Linked DNA regions of Mus musculus: region 2 is reported to be linked to region 1. The links are microRNA targets in miRTarBase. Many come from high-throughput screens and were not tested one by one. Region 1 holds a microRNA gene; the other region holds the end of a gene's coding sequence.
The links. The annotated mature microRNA mmu-miR-128-3p reads UCACAGUGAACCGGUCUCUUU and lies in region 1 at 4,565-4,585, shown strand. An mRNA with a match to its seed (bases 2 to 7 or 8) in the 3' UTR can be bound and repressed. Matches are read on the target gene's strand: a 7mer-m8 pairs with bases 2 to 8, a 7mer-A1 pairs with bases 2 to 7 and ends in A, and an 8mer does both.

Region 1 (8,687 bases):
TTTCTTTCTCATTTTCAGTTTGATAATTATTTGGTGAACAAGAAACAAATAGAATCTACTACTGGAAGTATAAAAATTATTAGAACTCAATCTTGATTTCTTTTTGTCCTATTTTTTAAAGAATCTGTTGAACTGAACTCCAGTCTCATATTTTAGATACTGTATTAAGGGCTTGGTAATAATTTAGCAATTAGTGATTGCTTTACAAGGTTGAGCACCTGAGTGTAGTCCCTATTCCCCACATAACAACAGACATAGTACGATACTTATCATTGTAGCGCTGGCAAGGGAGAGAGGTGGATTTCTGAGACTTGATTCCCAGCCAACCTGGCCTGATTGGTGTACTCAGAACTAATGAGAGACTATTTTAAGAAGATAAGGTGCACAGCTCTTGAGCAATGATACCCAAGGTGATCTCTGGTTTGTACACATATGTGCACTCATTGATGCAATCCCACAGACACACAGAAAGCTGTCTTACTGATCTTAATGAGCTCATTTCTGTTGCCATCCTGGTTGTGTACTGTTACAAATTTTAATGCGTTATTTAATTAAAACCTGTGTTACGTAAATTAAAGAATTGAGATTAAATTTTATAATTGATTTCTGTAGAGCAGTTTGCGTTCTTTGTCATTGGCGAAGGTACAGATTCTGTGCAGAGGCATTTCAGTCAAGCTGCACAGAGGAGTCTGCTGTTATCAGTGCTGTCTCCTAACTCTTTAGACCTACTTCTGGACTGGTCATTCCAGTGAAAATACTCACTTCTTGCTTCTTGTACAGTGTAGTCAACAACTCCCATTGCAGATAAGAGTCATAATTAGCACAGCTCCACATCCAAACTTTTGTGTCCTTAACCTGCTATACCTGAAAGTTTTCTGTTCTTAGTGGTTGGGCTCCTTTTTCTGTTCACTAGCCCTACATTACACATGCAACAGGTATTTTCCTACATGCTTTGGCATCTTCTGATCATTTTAGCTAAACTATAATTTTTTTTGTCTCAAATATGACTCCTTTTAATGTCAGATTTGCCTGAAGCCTAGTAATATGGCCCATGTCAAAGAATATAAACAGTTTATATTTTAAGTTAAGAAGATATCAAAGTTGTTGCTAGCTTGCTAGTTGTCTCAGCAGGTAAAGATGCTTACTGCGCAAGCCTGACAGCCTGAATTTGATTCCTGGACTTCTGTAAAGGTAGAGGGGAAAGGACCAGCCCCACAAAGTTGTCATGTGTTCTATGACACATCATGTAAACTCTCGCACTCGTATCTTATAATTATAACTTTTTATAAAAGGTTTTTATAAAAATGAGATTGCTCATGAACATTGATCATACTATTGCTCATTTAAGGTCACATAGACAATTGTATTATTCTAATAAAAATGATATTCTAGCTGGGACCAGTGACATATGCCTATGCTAGCGCTATGTGGGCTGAGGTTAGGAAGATCACAGCAGGGTTAAGGTACACTTGGGCTGTATAACAGCACCATATGTCAAAATTAAAACAAAAACCTTAAAAAATAATAGTAAAGAAAGCATTTTTTCTGTGCTTTCTTGGGCCTGAAAATAATTGACTTTTCGTAGTGTATATCTTTTTTGTTTTGCCTTCTAAAATTATAACATCTGATGTGATTTGTTTTTATTTATGGTTTTTCCCCCTGTGGTCCTGGGTATTAGACTCCAGTCTTTGTCTATGCTCAGCAGGCATTTGCTGCCTGGCAACATCCCTTCCTGTGATAGCTCACTAATTTTATAAAAAGTAAATTGAGTACTGGAGCAATGGCTTAGAGCTTAAGAGCACTTGCTCTTGTAGAGGACCCTGGTTCAATTCCTAACACCCACATGTGGCTCACAAACATCTGTAACTCCAGTTCCAGGGAATCCAAAGCACTCACCTGACTCCACAGACACCAAACCTACATGTAGGCTTCTACAACACTTATGCACATAAAATACCTTTAAAAAAATCAAAAAAACTTCAATAGAAAAAAGTAAGTTGGGGCTGGAGAGATGGCTCAGTGGTTAAGAACACTGGCTGCTCTGCCTTAGTTCAATTCCCAGCACCCACACGGTGGCTCACACCCATGTGTAGTGAGATCTGATGCCCTGTTCCACTGTCTGTCTGAAGACAGCTGCAGTGTACTCATATAACAAATGAATAATTTTTTTAAAGTAAGTTGACTCTCATGCCATTTATTTAAGTACTTTTTATATGACTCTCTGTGTTATCAAACCCTGTTAATAGGCAGCAAAGGTCCTCTGCTGTGTATTTATGAAAGCTTTTAGTTTTATCTTCTTTCTGAGGTAAAAATGTATTTCTTACCATAATCAGTTTATAAAATAAAAACTTAGTCACCTGTTGGGACTGTAGTACTTAATTCAGTTGCATCTCTCCACACAGTTATCCCCACTTAATTAAAAAAAAAATTTTTTTTTTAATGCCAAATAGACATATCTATGTGGTAGAAAGTATCACTATCTATCATTTGTGTTAGTTTAAGTGTGGATTTTCAGGTGTTAGTTAAGACAAAAGAGAAGAACACAGTAAGCCAACCTGCATCTGGACAGCACAAGTGCAGAAAAGGTCAACCTATCTTCAATAGTTTGTGACATTATCTGACTCCTAGGTGTCAGGTATAATAAATCACTGTGATGAGAGCTTGAGCTTTTATTTATTTTTTGTATTTGCCTAGTAGTAGCTAGCTTAAGTTGTTAGTTTTGCCTCATTCTGTTTGAAGAATAAGAAGAAAATCCTCAAATATTCTGTTATGCTTGTAAGTATAGAAAGAATATATAGAAATAGAAACATTACCTTTATGGAAATTTTCAATAAGCAGAAGCAGTTATGTGTAGGTAATTGTACTAGCCTTTTTATAGAACTGGTGGGAATTTGAACTCTTTTAAGCAAAACTGAATCTTAAGACTATAGTTTGCTAAGTTTTTTTATACTAAGACTTAAAAAAAATATATAACTAAATCGTAATATTAGAACAAAGAACTAGAAGATTAGGTAATTTCTGGGTTTTTGTTGTTGTTGTTATTGTTTCTCTGTTTACTGATTTCTGCCCCAATTTTCATATGTAAACATAGTTTATGTCTTAATATATTTTCTTATGTTTAACCATTACAACTAACTAAAATGTAAACTTTATTGATCACTGTTTTTTGGCTCTTATCCACCATGCCTTCATACCCAAAAGGAGCTCACAAAGCTTGTTATTCTCTTTGATTTCATGAAAAAAAATGGAGCTAATTATTCAGCCAAATAATGAAAAATTGCACCAAAGTATTTTAGCATGGCATTACTAAGACTTAAATGCTTATATATGAATTTAAAGAACATTTTCCCTAAATTAACAAACTCATCTGAGTCAATTCTGAGACCACGTTTTGTATAGACAATAAAAATAAATGATTTTCTGTTATTTTCCTCCTTGTAGAAGAAACTTTGAGAAATTCTTTTCAGATAAAATGCTTTAGTGTTGTAACCATATCTTTGCCAGTGTATTGATCTCCTTGACAATAAATTCCCTTATACTGTGGGAGCCCAGTGGAGCAGTATTAGCATAGGGGAGTCTTGTCTTAGTCTTGTGTGGTGAATGTAAACTCACTGACTGTGGTCATTCAAAATAAGATGAAGTCAGCACATGTAAAACACATTTATGGAAGTCCTGACTGTATGAAGCTTTCCAGACAATACAGTGTGTAATGTGAAAGAACGGCAGACTGTAAATCAGAATCCCAGTGACCTATGGTTTTTTTTTCTTCCTTTTTTTAACCTTTAATTTATTTTATTTCATTTTATTTATTATAGTTTGTGTGTATAGATGTTTTGCCTTCTTGTGTGTCTGTGCATTACATACATACATTGCCCAAGGAGGCTGGTAGAGGATGAGTCCTCTGAGACTGAAATCACACACAGTTGTGAGCCTGCAGTGGATGCTGGGAATTGAACCTAGGCCCTCCTGCAGGATCAGCCAGTGCTCTTAACTGAGCCATCTCTCCTGCCCCCACAGGCATTTTTTAAACTAATATTAGTTCTGTTAGTTAATGCCTGGGACTTTGAGTTTGATCACTCACAGAATTAGGTTGTGTTGTTATATTGTCTAGCCTTTGTGGACTCCAAAATGGAAAGATTCTGTGTCTTTTTTTTTTTTTTTAAGTCATTTCTGGTTTAGAAAGGTGAATATCAGAATTGACTTAAAATACCTTAGTGTCTTACTGTTAATAACTGCAGTCATGCAAGCAGCTATTTCAAAAAATCTGCTAGTTCTTAATTGCAATACTAGTAACTAATTATTTCAACTCTTAGCATACGTATAGGATAGTATATACAGTATAATACATACACTATAAAAACTTGAAAGAAATGGACCAAGAAATAGTGACGTTAGCAATGACAGGTTTATAGGCCCTGACTCTTTGATACGTAGCTGCTTTCATTCTTGGACTCTTTTGAAAAGTTTGCAGCTTCTCCTTATGTGCTTATATTTTACAATAATTGGCCTTCTTCCTGAGCTGTTGGATTCGGGGCCGTAGCACTGTCTGAGAGGTTTACATTTCTCACAGTGAACCGGTCTCTTTTTCAGCTGCTTCCTGACTTCTTTTTACTTCTTTTTGCTTTTTTGCTTTTTTTTTCTATGCTATATTAAGATACTAATATTTGTTTATATTTTCCATTGCCTATAATTACCTTTTAATTTTGCATCATACTCAGAAATAAGGATTTGAATTTAAGTAACAACCTTGGCTTCATACAATTTATCCTTAAAAATTCAAATTATCTGTTGCTTTCATTTCTTTTCCAAAGCATATTTGGATGCTTTTTTAAGATTCAATTTGGTTTGCATCTTATCTAACAGAGTTTAACATCTTAAGCATGCCAAACTCATTACTAGACATCAAATTTGTCTCTTTCCCTGTTTTTATACAACTTTTTAGGGGCATAATTATTCATTAAAATCTGGACCAAATGAACCAAAGATACCACATGCATTTTAAGCTGCTTGGGCCCTTACCAAGATACATAGTTCAGTTTTCCCCTAAACTGTTACTATTAAGTGCCTATGAGAACCATAATAATTCTGTGAAACTGAATATAATTTTATCCAGAATGAACAGGATCTGTGATATGCAGAATATAGGCAGCATTGCGGGCCACAGATTAGAAAGGACCTAGGGATTAAGGAAAGCTGGTAGTGTAACTCAGTTGGTAGGGTGCTTTGCATGAAGCCACAGGGTCCATCTCCTATACCACATATACTGTATGTTACATATAAAAGTAACTAGAACATGAAAGACAAAGAAGAATGGGTAAGCAGAGGTAAATTATATTGACAAGAGATTGAGTTACATTTTTATAAGAACAAAACTGATCATCTCTCTCCTGTCAATTTGTAACCATGTAATAGGAACTTTGTATTACTAGGTGGTAGCCCTGGTTTTACTTAGTTTTTTGTTGATTCTGTGAGCATTTTTCAGTGTTGCATGAACAGCATAGATTTCAGAAATTGTATAAAAAGTACAACTCCACCTATTTCCATTTCCCCTCTCCATTAATCTGCTGCCTCTGAAATATGGAGCAAATGTATTTGGTAAGTACTTACAGGTTTTCTTGAGTTGTTTAGGATAGTTATTTAAATAACTAAGAGATGTAACTTCTCTGTGGCTCATTTTATTCAGATTGGTTTTTCCTGGCATTTCTGTTGAGTTAAAGCTTGACAGAGAAGAAAGACTAGAGAGGTTGTGTTAGCAGCTCTGTCTCTTACCAAGTATAACTGAGAGCAGTCTTTGGTTGAACTTGCTTGTTCTCCAAATAGTACCTGGTTTATAAATTTCATAATCTTCTAAATTTCCATTTGAGCACCTAGTTCATATGTAATTTAGATTCAGCAAAAATGCCTTTTAAAGGCTTAACTCCCTTCACAGTGCTTCTTTCAACAAACCCAGTCTTTAAAGAAAGGATGTTAATACTGGTAAGGAAGTAAACCTAGAATCCTGGTGATGGCCATGTTGATGAACCATTTCTTCAGTTTGTCTATCTGATTATGGCTAATCTGTTTTGAAGGATGCTTTCCATTAACACAAATGCTAGTTCAGGTCACCTATGATAAAGTAAGTCTAGCTAGCACTTTTCTACTGAGCACTGATTTTCCTTCCTGCTCTCTTCTGTTGAGAGTTAAAAATAGAAAGTTCCTTATAACCTTCCAGGATTATTGTAGTGCCAACAATTCAAACTGATCTTGCTCTCTCAGGTTGCAGAATTGTTGCTGCTCTCAGAAAGTCCTGGAAGAAGTTGGATAATGTTGCAGCAGCATAGTTCTTTAACAAAGAATGGGAGTGTTAAACACTCGTATTGATAATAGGATGTCAGTGAATTCTGCTTGAAATCTCTTATTACTGTTCCTTACTTTTTGAATAATACTTTCCCCCAGATTGACAAATTCCAATAAAAGATAACTCACTTATCTCTTTCTGGTTATTTCTAAATAAGTCACAGAGAAAAATTTTAAAAGTTTAAATTCTCTCATACACGGAAACTACTTTTGATAAGGAATGATTTATGCTGTCCTGGGGGAGGGGTGGCTTATTGTGTCAGGATACTGGAAATGCTCTTGTGGCGCTTTTTTAACCCAATGGTACTTTTCTTTCTCTAGGAATTCACTTCTCCTTCCTTATCCTCAGTCTCATACTTGGCAATCTTCACACTATATTTTTGAAACTATGTACCATTTCCACTTGTCTGAAGGATTAGATAAGAAACTTGAATCACAGAGCCACTTGTCATAGGTGATACTACTAACAACCCAGGCTGAATGCTGTAAAATTGCTTTGTTTAAACAGAAGTTCAGAAAAAATTTTCAAGCAGTTTAAATACTTTTTAAATAGTATTATTTTTATTCAATGGATGTACATAAAGTGAGACATGCCTTATACCATGTGATACTAAGTGATTAATGATAGGGTTTTCATTAATGACAGGAAGAGTCTTATCTGTGTTTGAAATACAGTATTATGCCCTGTCATGTTTTTAGAGCTTTCCATGTTTCTAACTTTCTTTTTTATTGTAGTGTGATAATCTTTGGACAGCAGGCCCTACAGTTACCTTGCACTATGGAAAGTCCAATAATATTTTAATATCTTGCTCTTTAGAAAGTACAATCCAGAATTGCTTATTAGCCATTTCCTGGGTTTTAAAATTATTAGAATAAAGAATGAATCGTTCCATTATGATTTCAAAAATAAAAACTCAAATATTTGTTCTAATACCATTAAAATTTCCCTCTTGATGGTTTTGGTTGTGATAGTCTTAGAAAGGTTCCATTGCAAAGATTCCTGATGTCTCCTACCAGTATGGTTCAACCCTGGTGTGTTTTCCCCCTTGATGCTAAAATGAATGGAAAGCAACTCTGTGGGTGGTGGGGGAAAGTTATTGCTTCAGACAACCCCAAGACATGAAGCAAAACAGCTTCCCTGCTTATGAGGTATCCTAATGAAAACAGACTTAGCCCCACTGAGTAAGTCTGAGATTGTGGAGAAGACAGCCAGCATCTGTTAAAATCTTCTACAGACTCAACCAGAATATGGCAACAGAGTCTTTCTTTTAAGCAAAAAGCAACCTCAAATAAAACTACCAAGCTGAATCCTCAAGAAGACTACTGTAGATTGAAAGGGGAGCACTCAGGATGCAAGGCCCAGAGCAGCTGAGATTCCTTATGCTTTGGGCTTCTACTCCCTTTCCTAATAGTTTTCTACTGAGAAAGCTAATCTCATAAGTCAAGCAGGCATATAACTTTGAAATACACAAACCATGCCAAGAGAGTGGGGAAAACAGTGAGTACACGTGGACTGCTTGTATAACCTTACTCTGGGTGGCTTTTAACTCCGCAGTCCATATAGCTGCTTTCGGTACTAACTCCTGTTGATTTCTATTTTTGATAATTATGTCTGTTCTCACAAACATTCTTTAATTCAAATGGACAGTTAGTTGGCTGACTGTTTCACCTCATTTATAATAATTCTGTTTTCTTGCCACACATGGTAGCACATGCCTTTAATGCCAACACTTAGGGAGGAGACAAAGGCAGGCAAAGGCAGATTTGTCTACATAATGAGGCCAGCTAGGGCTACATAGTTTCTTCTTTTAAAAAAATATAAAAAATAAAAAAAATAAATAAAAAACACAAACTCTACATTTTCCCCAATTAAAATTACCTAGAACATTAGGTGTGTTACACTAGAGTAGATATCTTCTCTAACCAAAACTCTCAGAAAATCAAAGATCACAGATCCTTCTTATTTGAGTATTTCTGTAGTACTCATTCCACGTCAACAGTTGTCTCTGGGGAAGGTAAAACTTACATGCAGATCCCAGCTATACACTGACCGGCTTCTGACCTTGGACTAAGGTATGAACCTTTCTGTGCCTTTGTTTCCTCACCTGAAAAATGAGGATAATTGTGTTTCCGAAATAATTGTCTCTATAAATGTGGAATAAGTTATTTGTGTGCACAGAGCAGTGCTGACATCTAATAAATTGATGACCGTTAGCTGCTAATACCCGGAATGCCTTTGAGGCAGTGATACTTACCTGATATTCTAAGTGAGAGAGCATAGGAGTTTTGAATTTTTATGCTAGAGACCAGAATACAGTTTGTCCTAAAATATTCAGCCTTTTTAGCTTCTC
Region 2 (8,687 bases), not on the chromosome of region 1:
CGGTTAGGAAGATAATTTGGTCACTTGTGTCTGTGGCCACTCTTAGAATTTTCTCTTTTGAGGGAACCTGTGACTGGTTGGCTTTTGCATTCTATGGAGGGAGATGGGGTTAAAGACTGTGGCAACACACACCCTCCAGAAGAGCTGGGACCAGAGACTGTCAGCACAGAAAGGACAATGTCTTTTTTAGTAGCTGTGGCAGACTTGAGTTGCTGTAATTTATACAAATTGTTTAGAATGGTTTTTAAGACTAAGAAGGGAAATATACTTATTGCACAAGACTTTTATAATTACTATACTTAAATTATGCTCTATGTGGGGACTGAGAAGTGTATTTCTACGTTGCTTATATCTGATCACTTTTGTATTTGTTGATTTAAAGCCTGTGGGTCTTTTTTTTAATCACTCTTAATATCAACTTTTATAATCTTTTAAAATAAATCCTCTTAATTCCAGTGTTTGTGCCTTCACAGTTGTTCATTAATTACAGACTTATTTAGATGAGGCCCTCACTTGAGGGGTTAGCTGTCCCCATGTCTGTACGTGTCCAATACACGGGCTGTCTTCTGGAGAGTGGGATTCGGACTTAAACATCATGTTTGTCGGCTGTGGCAGCACAGGAGTCTCCAATGCCATCACTTAGGGCTGAAGCAGGAAGGTCACCAGCTTAAAGCCAACCTGGTTTACATAGCAGGGAAAATACTGTAAGAGCTAGCTGTGGTGGAGGCAGATCTGTGTAAGTTTAAGGCCAGCCTGGGCTACAGAGTGAGTTCCAGGTCAGCCAAATAAATAAATGAAAACAAAAATATACTTTTTAGGGAATCCCATGGCATGAATTATAGAAGAATACTAGACATCGGGTGGTTTTAAATCCCTCCCCCCCTTTTCTTTCCTCTTCCTTTCGCCTCTCTCTCCTTTCCCTTCTGTTCTGACACAGGGTCTCATGTAGCCCAGGCTGGCTCCAAACTCACTCTGTCGATGAGGATGACACTGACCTCCAGGTCCATCTGTACTTGCTTCCCAGATTCTGGGGTCACAGCTGCATGTCACCTCCACCTAAATCATTGTAAGAATGAAGTTTTGGACTCTGCTTAACACCCTAGATGTGGCTCCTGTGCTGTGGACAGATAGAGGCATCTGTTTGGGACAGCTCAATCACTGGACAGTGCGAAGCAGAGCCAGGGCGTCGTTGTGCTAAAGCAGAACTATTTGTGGAGTTTGTAAAATTCCTGCCTCCAGTCCCTAGAGAATAACAGGATCTTTATAGTTAGTCCTCAGAAATTCACTGGGATTTGTACATTCTTCAGGTTTTTTGTTTGTTTGTTTTTTGTTGATAAAAAACATTGTATCAATATGCAGCCAGCTGCAAAGAGCAGAAGACCTAAAGCAGGGAATGCCGACAGTAAAGCATTCCTGGTGGCGGGCGGCCTGTGAGGCTGGGGCAGGGGGATCGCTAATGCCCACCCATTTTCTGCTGAGACTTCTGTCCACAGAGTTGAGACTTTACAGTCACAGGACTGTCCAGAGGTGAGGAAGGGTTGTTGATTCTCCAGAGTTCCCCATGAGCCCTTAGTGGGTTTGACTCATTTTGCAGGTGAGTTCAAGGTTGCGCTTGCTGACTGTGATTAATGCACTGTGACTAGAGTAACATAATCTAGACCCCCGTCCCCACGCCACACACGCACACACCAGTATGAAAATACCTGGATTTAAAGCTGCCCTCTACCTATCAAAGTTGGTTTTGCTAACAGAGGAACGGGATCATCATGTGAGACTGAAGACAATGTTGGATGCACTGATTACACCAGGCAATGGTGGCAGACACCATTGATCCCAGTATTTGGGAGGCAGAGGCAGGTGGATCTCTGTGAGTTCAAGGCCAGCCTGGCTTAGACAGCAAAGCCAGGGCTATACAGAGAAACTGCCTTGAACTGCCCAAACCAAAAAGCCCAACCAGCCCCCAGTTTATAAAGCACTTATTATGGTCTGGGAAATGGTCCAGACAATGCTTGCAAAGTTGCAAAGACTTGAGTTTGAACCCCAGAACCTACCTAGAGCCAGGTGTGGTTGCATATGTTGCAATGGGGAGGCAGAGATAGGTGGCTGCCTGGGGTTTTTGACCAGCCAGTGTGGCCTGCCTGGTGAGCTCCAGGCTGATGAGATCTGGCTCCCAGGAAACTCTGGTTTCTTCTGGTCTACACACCCATGTGCTTATGCATGTTCACACATGTGTACTGCACACATGAACGTGTGTGAACACACAATTGTAGTCTTGACCGCTCTGAGATGTCTTTTTTTTTTTTTTAGGCTAAATTATAGTTCTATAAGTAATATGCATCACAGAAACTTTTTAAAATAAAGGCAGCTGTAAAAGGCAGCAAGGATTCTCATTACCCCAACTTATTTATTTATTTATTTATTTATTTACTTATTTACTTATTTATTTATTTATTTTCGAGACAGGGTTTCCCTGTATAGCCCTGGCTGTCCTGGAATTCACTTTGTAGACCAGGCTGGCTTCGAACTCAGAAATCTGCCTGCCTCTGCCTCCCAAGTGCTGGGATTAAAGGCGTGCGCCACCACCGCCCGGCACCCCAACTTATTTTTAATGTTCCTATATGTCTGTGTATGTGCATGTTACAGTGCCTGTTAGAAGTCAGACTTGTGGGAGGCAGGGCTCTTTGTCCACCATGAGGGAGACCCAGGATCCAACTCAGCAAATGCCTTTTTTTTGCTGAACATATTCACCAGCCCTTTAAACAAATTTTTGTGGGGGGCTGGAGAGATGGCTCAATGGTTAGGAGCATTGTCTACTCTTCCAGAGGTCCTGAGTTCAATTCCCAGCAACCACACAAGGTGGCTCACAATCATCTATAATGGGATCTGATGCCCTCTTCTGGCATGCAGGTGTACATGCAGATAGAGCACTCGTGTATAAAATAAAATGTTTATACAGTCCTCAACATTTTGTATTTGTATTTTTTGTTGTTCTTCCTCCCGCCTCTCTCAGCAGGGAACTTCTGATCTTTCTGCTTCCACCTCCCAGTGTTGGAATAACAGACATGTTATATAACCTACGTGGTGGCTCACAACTATCTGTCACTTCAGCTCTAGGGGAGTTGACACCCTAACCTGGCCTCTGTAGGTACCATGTGTGCATGTTTGCACACATGCATGCAAGCAAAACACTCAAACACATAAAATAAAAATAATAAATGTTTTAAAAATAAGGAGATGCCCAACACAGTGGTGTACACTTATAATCCCAGACTGAGAGGCTGAGACAGGAGGATCATTATGAGTTCCAGGGCAGCCTGGGGTACATAGGTACAGAGTAAGACCCTATTTTTTTTCTTTTTTGAGACAGAGTTTGACCCTATATTCCTGGCTGTCCTGGAACTCACTTTGTAGACCAAGCTGGCCTTGCACTCACAGAGATCCACCTTCCTCTGTCTCCCGACTCCCGAGTGTTGGGATTAAAGGACTGTGCCTTTATCTCCACTGAGACCCTATCTTTAAAATAAATTAAGGATGTGGGAGAGAAGGTGTGGCTTGAGGCCAGTAGGGTGACAGGCAAATAAAGCCACCAAGGCTACACGGGGATGTCCCCTGCTGACATATGAACTCATGTGCTCTAGAGTAGAACTAACATAAGAAAAGCAACTGTGTGGTGATCGGTGGTTCCGGAAGTGATGGTGGAAAGAGAAAGATGGGCGCAAGAGACGATAAGCATCATGTGATGGCTAATCTTGGTTGTCAACTCGGCCACATCTGCAATCTACGAGAACCAAAGTATCTGGGCAAGCCTGTGTCCCCTGCAAGCCACTCTAATAAATCCTGTGTGTGTGCGCGTGCTTGAGAGAGAGCTATCTCTCTCGAGAAATTAAGGGGAAAGCTAATCTGAAGGTAGGAAGGGGACGGCCAGGCGTGGGCCAGTGGTTATTGTGTGCCCTGAATGGAAGACTATGACTAATCTGTGCGTCCACAGAAGTGTGCACATCTCTGCTCTACGTCAGAACCTCAGCCTCTGCTCTGGCCGGGCAGGAGTGGCAGTGCGTTCCTCTGGTCGCCAGGGGGCGCGCGCTGCACGAGTGGGCGCAAGTCGGTGGCCTCCACCTAAGGGTGGAGTTTCTGCAACTAGGAAGTAGAGCGCGGTTGGGAGGAGAGGCTGCTGCAGGCATGCACAACTGCGGCAGGGGAGGGAGGCTTCCGCCTGGCGAGGCCGCAGAGGAAACAGCTGGCAGCCCTGCGGGCCTCAGCAGGACTTCCCCGCTTTACCGCCAGGACACGCGCGGGGTCACTTGCCAGTGGGCGAGCCGGCCGGGTGTGCCCCCAGACAGGGCTTGTTTGGTTTCAGCTTCGTTTCTAGGTTTCGTTGGCAACGTTTCCAGATTGGGAGATGCTTAGCTAGAAGGCCCAGATTTCCAATTTTCTGGGTCACTGGGGCAGCTGGCATCAGTGAGCAGCTGGCAGCCCTGGGCCAGCTGCCACCTCCGAAGCGAAGCGCCCAGAAGGCAGGATCTGCCGCAGTTTAGAGAACCCTGACTGATCCGGACAGCGATCATCCTCAGGTGGTAGCCAATCGGTTGTGTGTGTGTGTGTGTGTGTGTGTGTGTGTGTGCGCGCGCATGAGGATATTTTTTATTTTTGCAGTTTTTCTAGATACATAAGAAGACAGTAAAATCTTAGGAACCTACTGACTGTCCTCACCTTCCCAGGAGGTAGTGAGTATTTTCTGAGGGGAAGCCTCTTGGAGCTGGTCACCCAGGCCATTGTAAGGTTAGAAGCATCTTTCATACCGGTTTCTTACAAACTTTTAAAAAAATGTTCAACTATTATTAATATATATATATACACATATATATACATATGTGTATATGTATATATGTATATATATATATATATAGTCTCTCTGTGTTAGTTCTGGAACTCACTTTTTTGGGATCGTGGTGGCTTAAATTTTTGGGTTTTTTGCTTGTTTGTTTTGTTTAATCCCAGCACTTGGGAGGCAGAGGCAAGTGGATCACAGAATTTAAGGCTAGCCTGGTCTACAGAGCTAGTTTCAAAACAGCCAAGGCTACAGAGAAACCCTGTTTCAAAAAGACCAAAACCAAAACAACAAAAGATACCTTAAAATGATTTTTACATTTTTACTTTTTTATTTATTTTATTTTTTTTGAGACAAGGTCTCCCTACGTGTAGCTATGCTAGCTTCAGACTTAGCATCTTCCTGCCTCAGCCTCCAGAATGCAGGAGTTACACAACACTTACCTTTTTGTTTTTAGTAAAGGTTGGTCTATCCTGGCCTGCCCTTGGTTGAATTCCGATCCTCCTGTCTCCACTTCTGCCTTGTTATTATGAACGGACCACCACAGGCTTCTTCACTGAGGGCATGTTTTGCATGCTGGATGAGCACTCTATTAAGTGAATTAAATTTATTTTTTAATAGCAAAAAAAAAAAAATCTTTTCAGGCTGGAGAGATGGTGTAGCAGTTAAGAGCACTGACTGCTCTTCCAGAGGTCTTGAGTTCAATTCCCAGCAACCACAAAGTAGCTCACAACCATCTGCAATATAGATCTGATGCCCTCTTCTGGTGTGTCTGAAGACAGCTACAGCATACTCATATACATAAAATAAATAAATAAATCTTTAAAAAAAAGGGAAAAATCTCTTCAATTCAGTTCATTCTTGAAAGTCTATTCTATAGAACAGGGAATCGGCAAATATCCACAACTAATAACACAAATGACATTTACTTATTGTAAGGCTGGTTGATAAACACAGAGGGGTCTGTGGTTTATACTTATAATCCCAGCATCTGGAACAGGGAGGCAGGAAGATCAGGGGTTTAAGGGCATCCTTGGGTATGTATGGACTTCAAGGCCAGCCTGGGCTATAGAGACTCCATGTCTTACTAGAGAGAGAGAGAGAGAGCAAGAGCCTAGGCTCTTGTGCAGAGAGGTGGCTGCAGCCCTGTTCTCTCCTGTTCCTCTGCAGGCAAGGTTTCAACAGACAGGTCTCACTGTGGTACAGGGAGGCCACACGGAGTCAGCAGCCCTCACAGCCTGGACAGGGAGAGATGCCCACAGCGAGGGTTGCACCATTGCTATTTGCCACTGGTGGCTAGCTGGTCTGTGTGACTGTAAGGTGATAATATCACACTTCTCTCTCATTGAGACTTAATCATTTTACATGTGCGAGTGTTTTTCCTGCAGCCTGTAAATTCATGCAGTGTCTGCTGAGACCAGAGGAGGGCATTGGAGTCCCTGGAAGAAATGAGTTACAGTTGGTTGTGAGCCACCATGTGTGTACTGGCAATGGAGCCAAGTCTCCTGCAGGATCAGTAAACATGATCTGTCTCTCCTGGCTAACACATACTTCATACATGCACTTCCTGTGTATGGCCCTGTTAACACATACTTCATACATGCACTGCATGTCTGTAGTCCCACAATTCCTCCTTAGGTTAATAGGACACGAGTTAGCCACATCCAAAAGAGGGAGGTGGTGGTGTTGCACAGGGGCCTGAAGACCCTAAATGTGTAGAAGTTTGTCCCTTGTGTTAGCAGACACTTTGGACCCCTGGAACAAGCAGATTTTGGGTCTGCTTCCCACCTTTGGTCAACACTGATGAGGGAAGCTAGTGAACTCTGCTGTCCTGTCCAGGCTCAGGAGACGGCCAACCTTGGAGTCAGGTACCAGCAACACATCACTCTCTTGTCCTTCTGGCTTCCTTCTTGGGTCTTGCAGGCCACACTAGTAGTATGTCCAAGCTTGGTGGCTTCCCTAGGGCCTCGAAGCCAGCCGGTTTCCAGAACCTCTCGGAGCCCCACAGAACTCACACTTGTAGCAGAGCTTGCCATCGACCAGGACCTAGTCAGGCCCAGGGACTGTGCTGGCTACAGTGGAGGAGAGGCGGCCCAATTATGGCCCCCTCTTCTCAACCCGGGGGCTGCTGGCCACAGCACAGATGGCCACTACAATCTACTGACTCTACTTTGCCACTACTGTTTCACCTCAGCTTCCCTGCCACGTGCAATGAATGCCTCCCATTGCTTTGAGAATCTAACACTTCTCTCTCTCTCTCTCTCTCTCTCTCTCTCTCTCTCTCTCTCTCTCTCTCTCTCTCTCTCTCTCTCTCTCCCCACCCCAACCCCTGCCCCTTCTAGGGTTTCTTTGTGTAGCCATGGCTGTCCTAGGACTCACTCTGTAGACCAGGCTGGCCTCCCAGTGTGCGCCTGAAAATCACCCCAGATCCCACGTCCTAACTGGAAGGGAATTTAAGGCCCAGGATATAAAAATCAGAGCTGGATATGGTGACACAGCTAGGATCCCAGGGAGGGACATGGAGGTTGAAGGATCAGGAGTTCAGAGGTCACTTTTGCCTACAAAGCAAGTTCAAGGGCCGGGCATGGTGGCACATGCCTTTAATCCCAACACTTGGGAGGCAGAGGCAGGTGGATTTCTGAGTTCGAGGCCAGCCTGGTCTACAAAGTGAGTTCCAGGACAGCCAGGGCTACAGAGAGAAACCCTGTCTCGAAAAACAAACAAACAAACAAACAAACAAACAAAAAAGCAAGTTCAAGGCCAACCCAAAACTATGTAAGATGGGAAGCTTGTGTGTGTGTATGTGTGTGTGTGTGTGTGTGTGTGTGTGTGTGTGTGTGTGTGACTGGGGGATGGGATGTCAGCTTAGTAGGGTGGTTGCCTAATATGTATGGAGGAAATTCATCCCCAGCACCACACAAAACTGGGTGTCCTAGCACACACTTCTAATCTTAGTGCTTGGGAGGTAGAGGCAAGAGGATCAGGAGTTCTAGGTCAACCTCAGCTACATAATTTAGTTTGAAGCCAGTCTAGGAGGATGGGCATTTAGCAAGGAGTCCACACTCAAGCTGGCATAGAAAGGCCTAGTGTTAGAGACATCTCATGCAATAAGGAAACCTGCTGCAATTGACATTTTATTAAAAACTATGCACCTCCCCACCCCCACCCCCACCCACAGTGACAAAGGCAGAGATAGGGGCAGGAGACAGGATGGCCACATAGTGTTTCTTCTGGCTCTTCACTTAGAGACGCTTCAAGACCAGATTGACAGGCCAGATAAATTAGGGTCTTCGGCCTCTGTGTGGTCTCGGTCCTGAGGGTATGAAGAAAGGCGTGTCTATGCAGGCAGATCCACAAGTCTCTCTACTGTGCTCAGAGCAGTCCTTGGTACCTGAGTGGTGCTAACAGCCCAGAACGGAGGGATGTCCTCTGCAGCAGACTGTGAAAGGAGGCTGTAGATGCCCAGGAGCCCAGTATCCTGGCAAAGCAGGGAAGGCACAGGCCTTGTCGCCTGAAGAGTCCACAGCCATGGCGAGGGTCCTCCAGAGGCTGTGGCCTCATCAGGCAGATGCATCTTGGGAGAGAAATGGAGAGTTAGGTTATCTTTCTGGGAATAGAACCCACTCAGAAGCCATGGGCTCCAAATTGTGTGTGGGTGTGTGTGTGTGTGTGTGTGTGGTTTTGTTTGATAGGATTGTAAAATGATTGCCTTGACCTGAGGGTCTGCCCACTTCAGCCTCCCACAGTTGAGATCACAAGCATGCACCACAAACCTCGTGTTTTTACAGATTTTAATGAACACAGCATGCATGCATCATTGTGGTGGTGCACACGTGTAAACCTAGAATTTTGAGAAGCT

Region 2: miRTarBase lists Cmtm7 as a target of mmu-miR-128-3p. Seed matches in the 3' UTR shown: 7mer-m8 at 8,002-8,008.

Annotation. Positions count from the first base shown.
Region 1 is chr1:128,197,840-128,206,526 of GRCm38, forward strand. It overlaps Mir128-1 (microRNA 128-1), which reads left to right and starts at 4,522; the gene lies at 4,522-4,591. The region is part of intron 19 of R3hdm1 (R3H domain containing 1); the gene reads left to right.
Region 2 is chr9:114,748,890-114,757,576 of GRCm38, forward strand. Cmtm7 (CKLF-like MARVEL transmembrane domain containing 7) reads right to left here. Exons shown (of 5, transcript NM_133978.2): 5 at 7,947-8,402. The coding sequence ends at 8,389. Cmtm6 (CKLF-like MARVEL transmembrane domain containing 6) reads left to right here. Exons shown (of 4, transcript NM_026036.3): 4 at 1-454. Among named protein-coding and RNA genes, the nearest start is that of Gm9888, 14 kb to the right of the region's middle.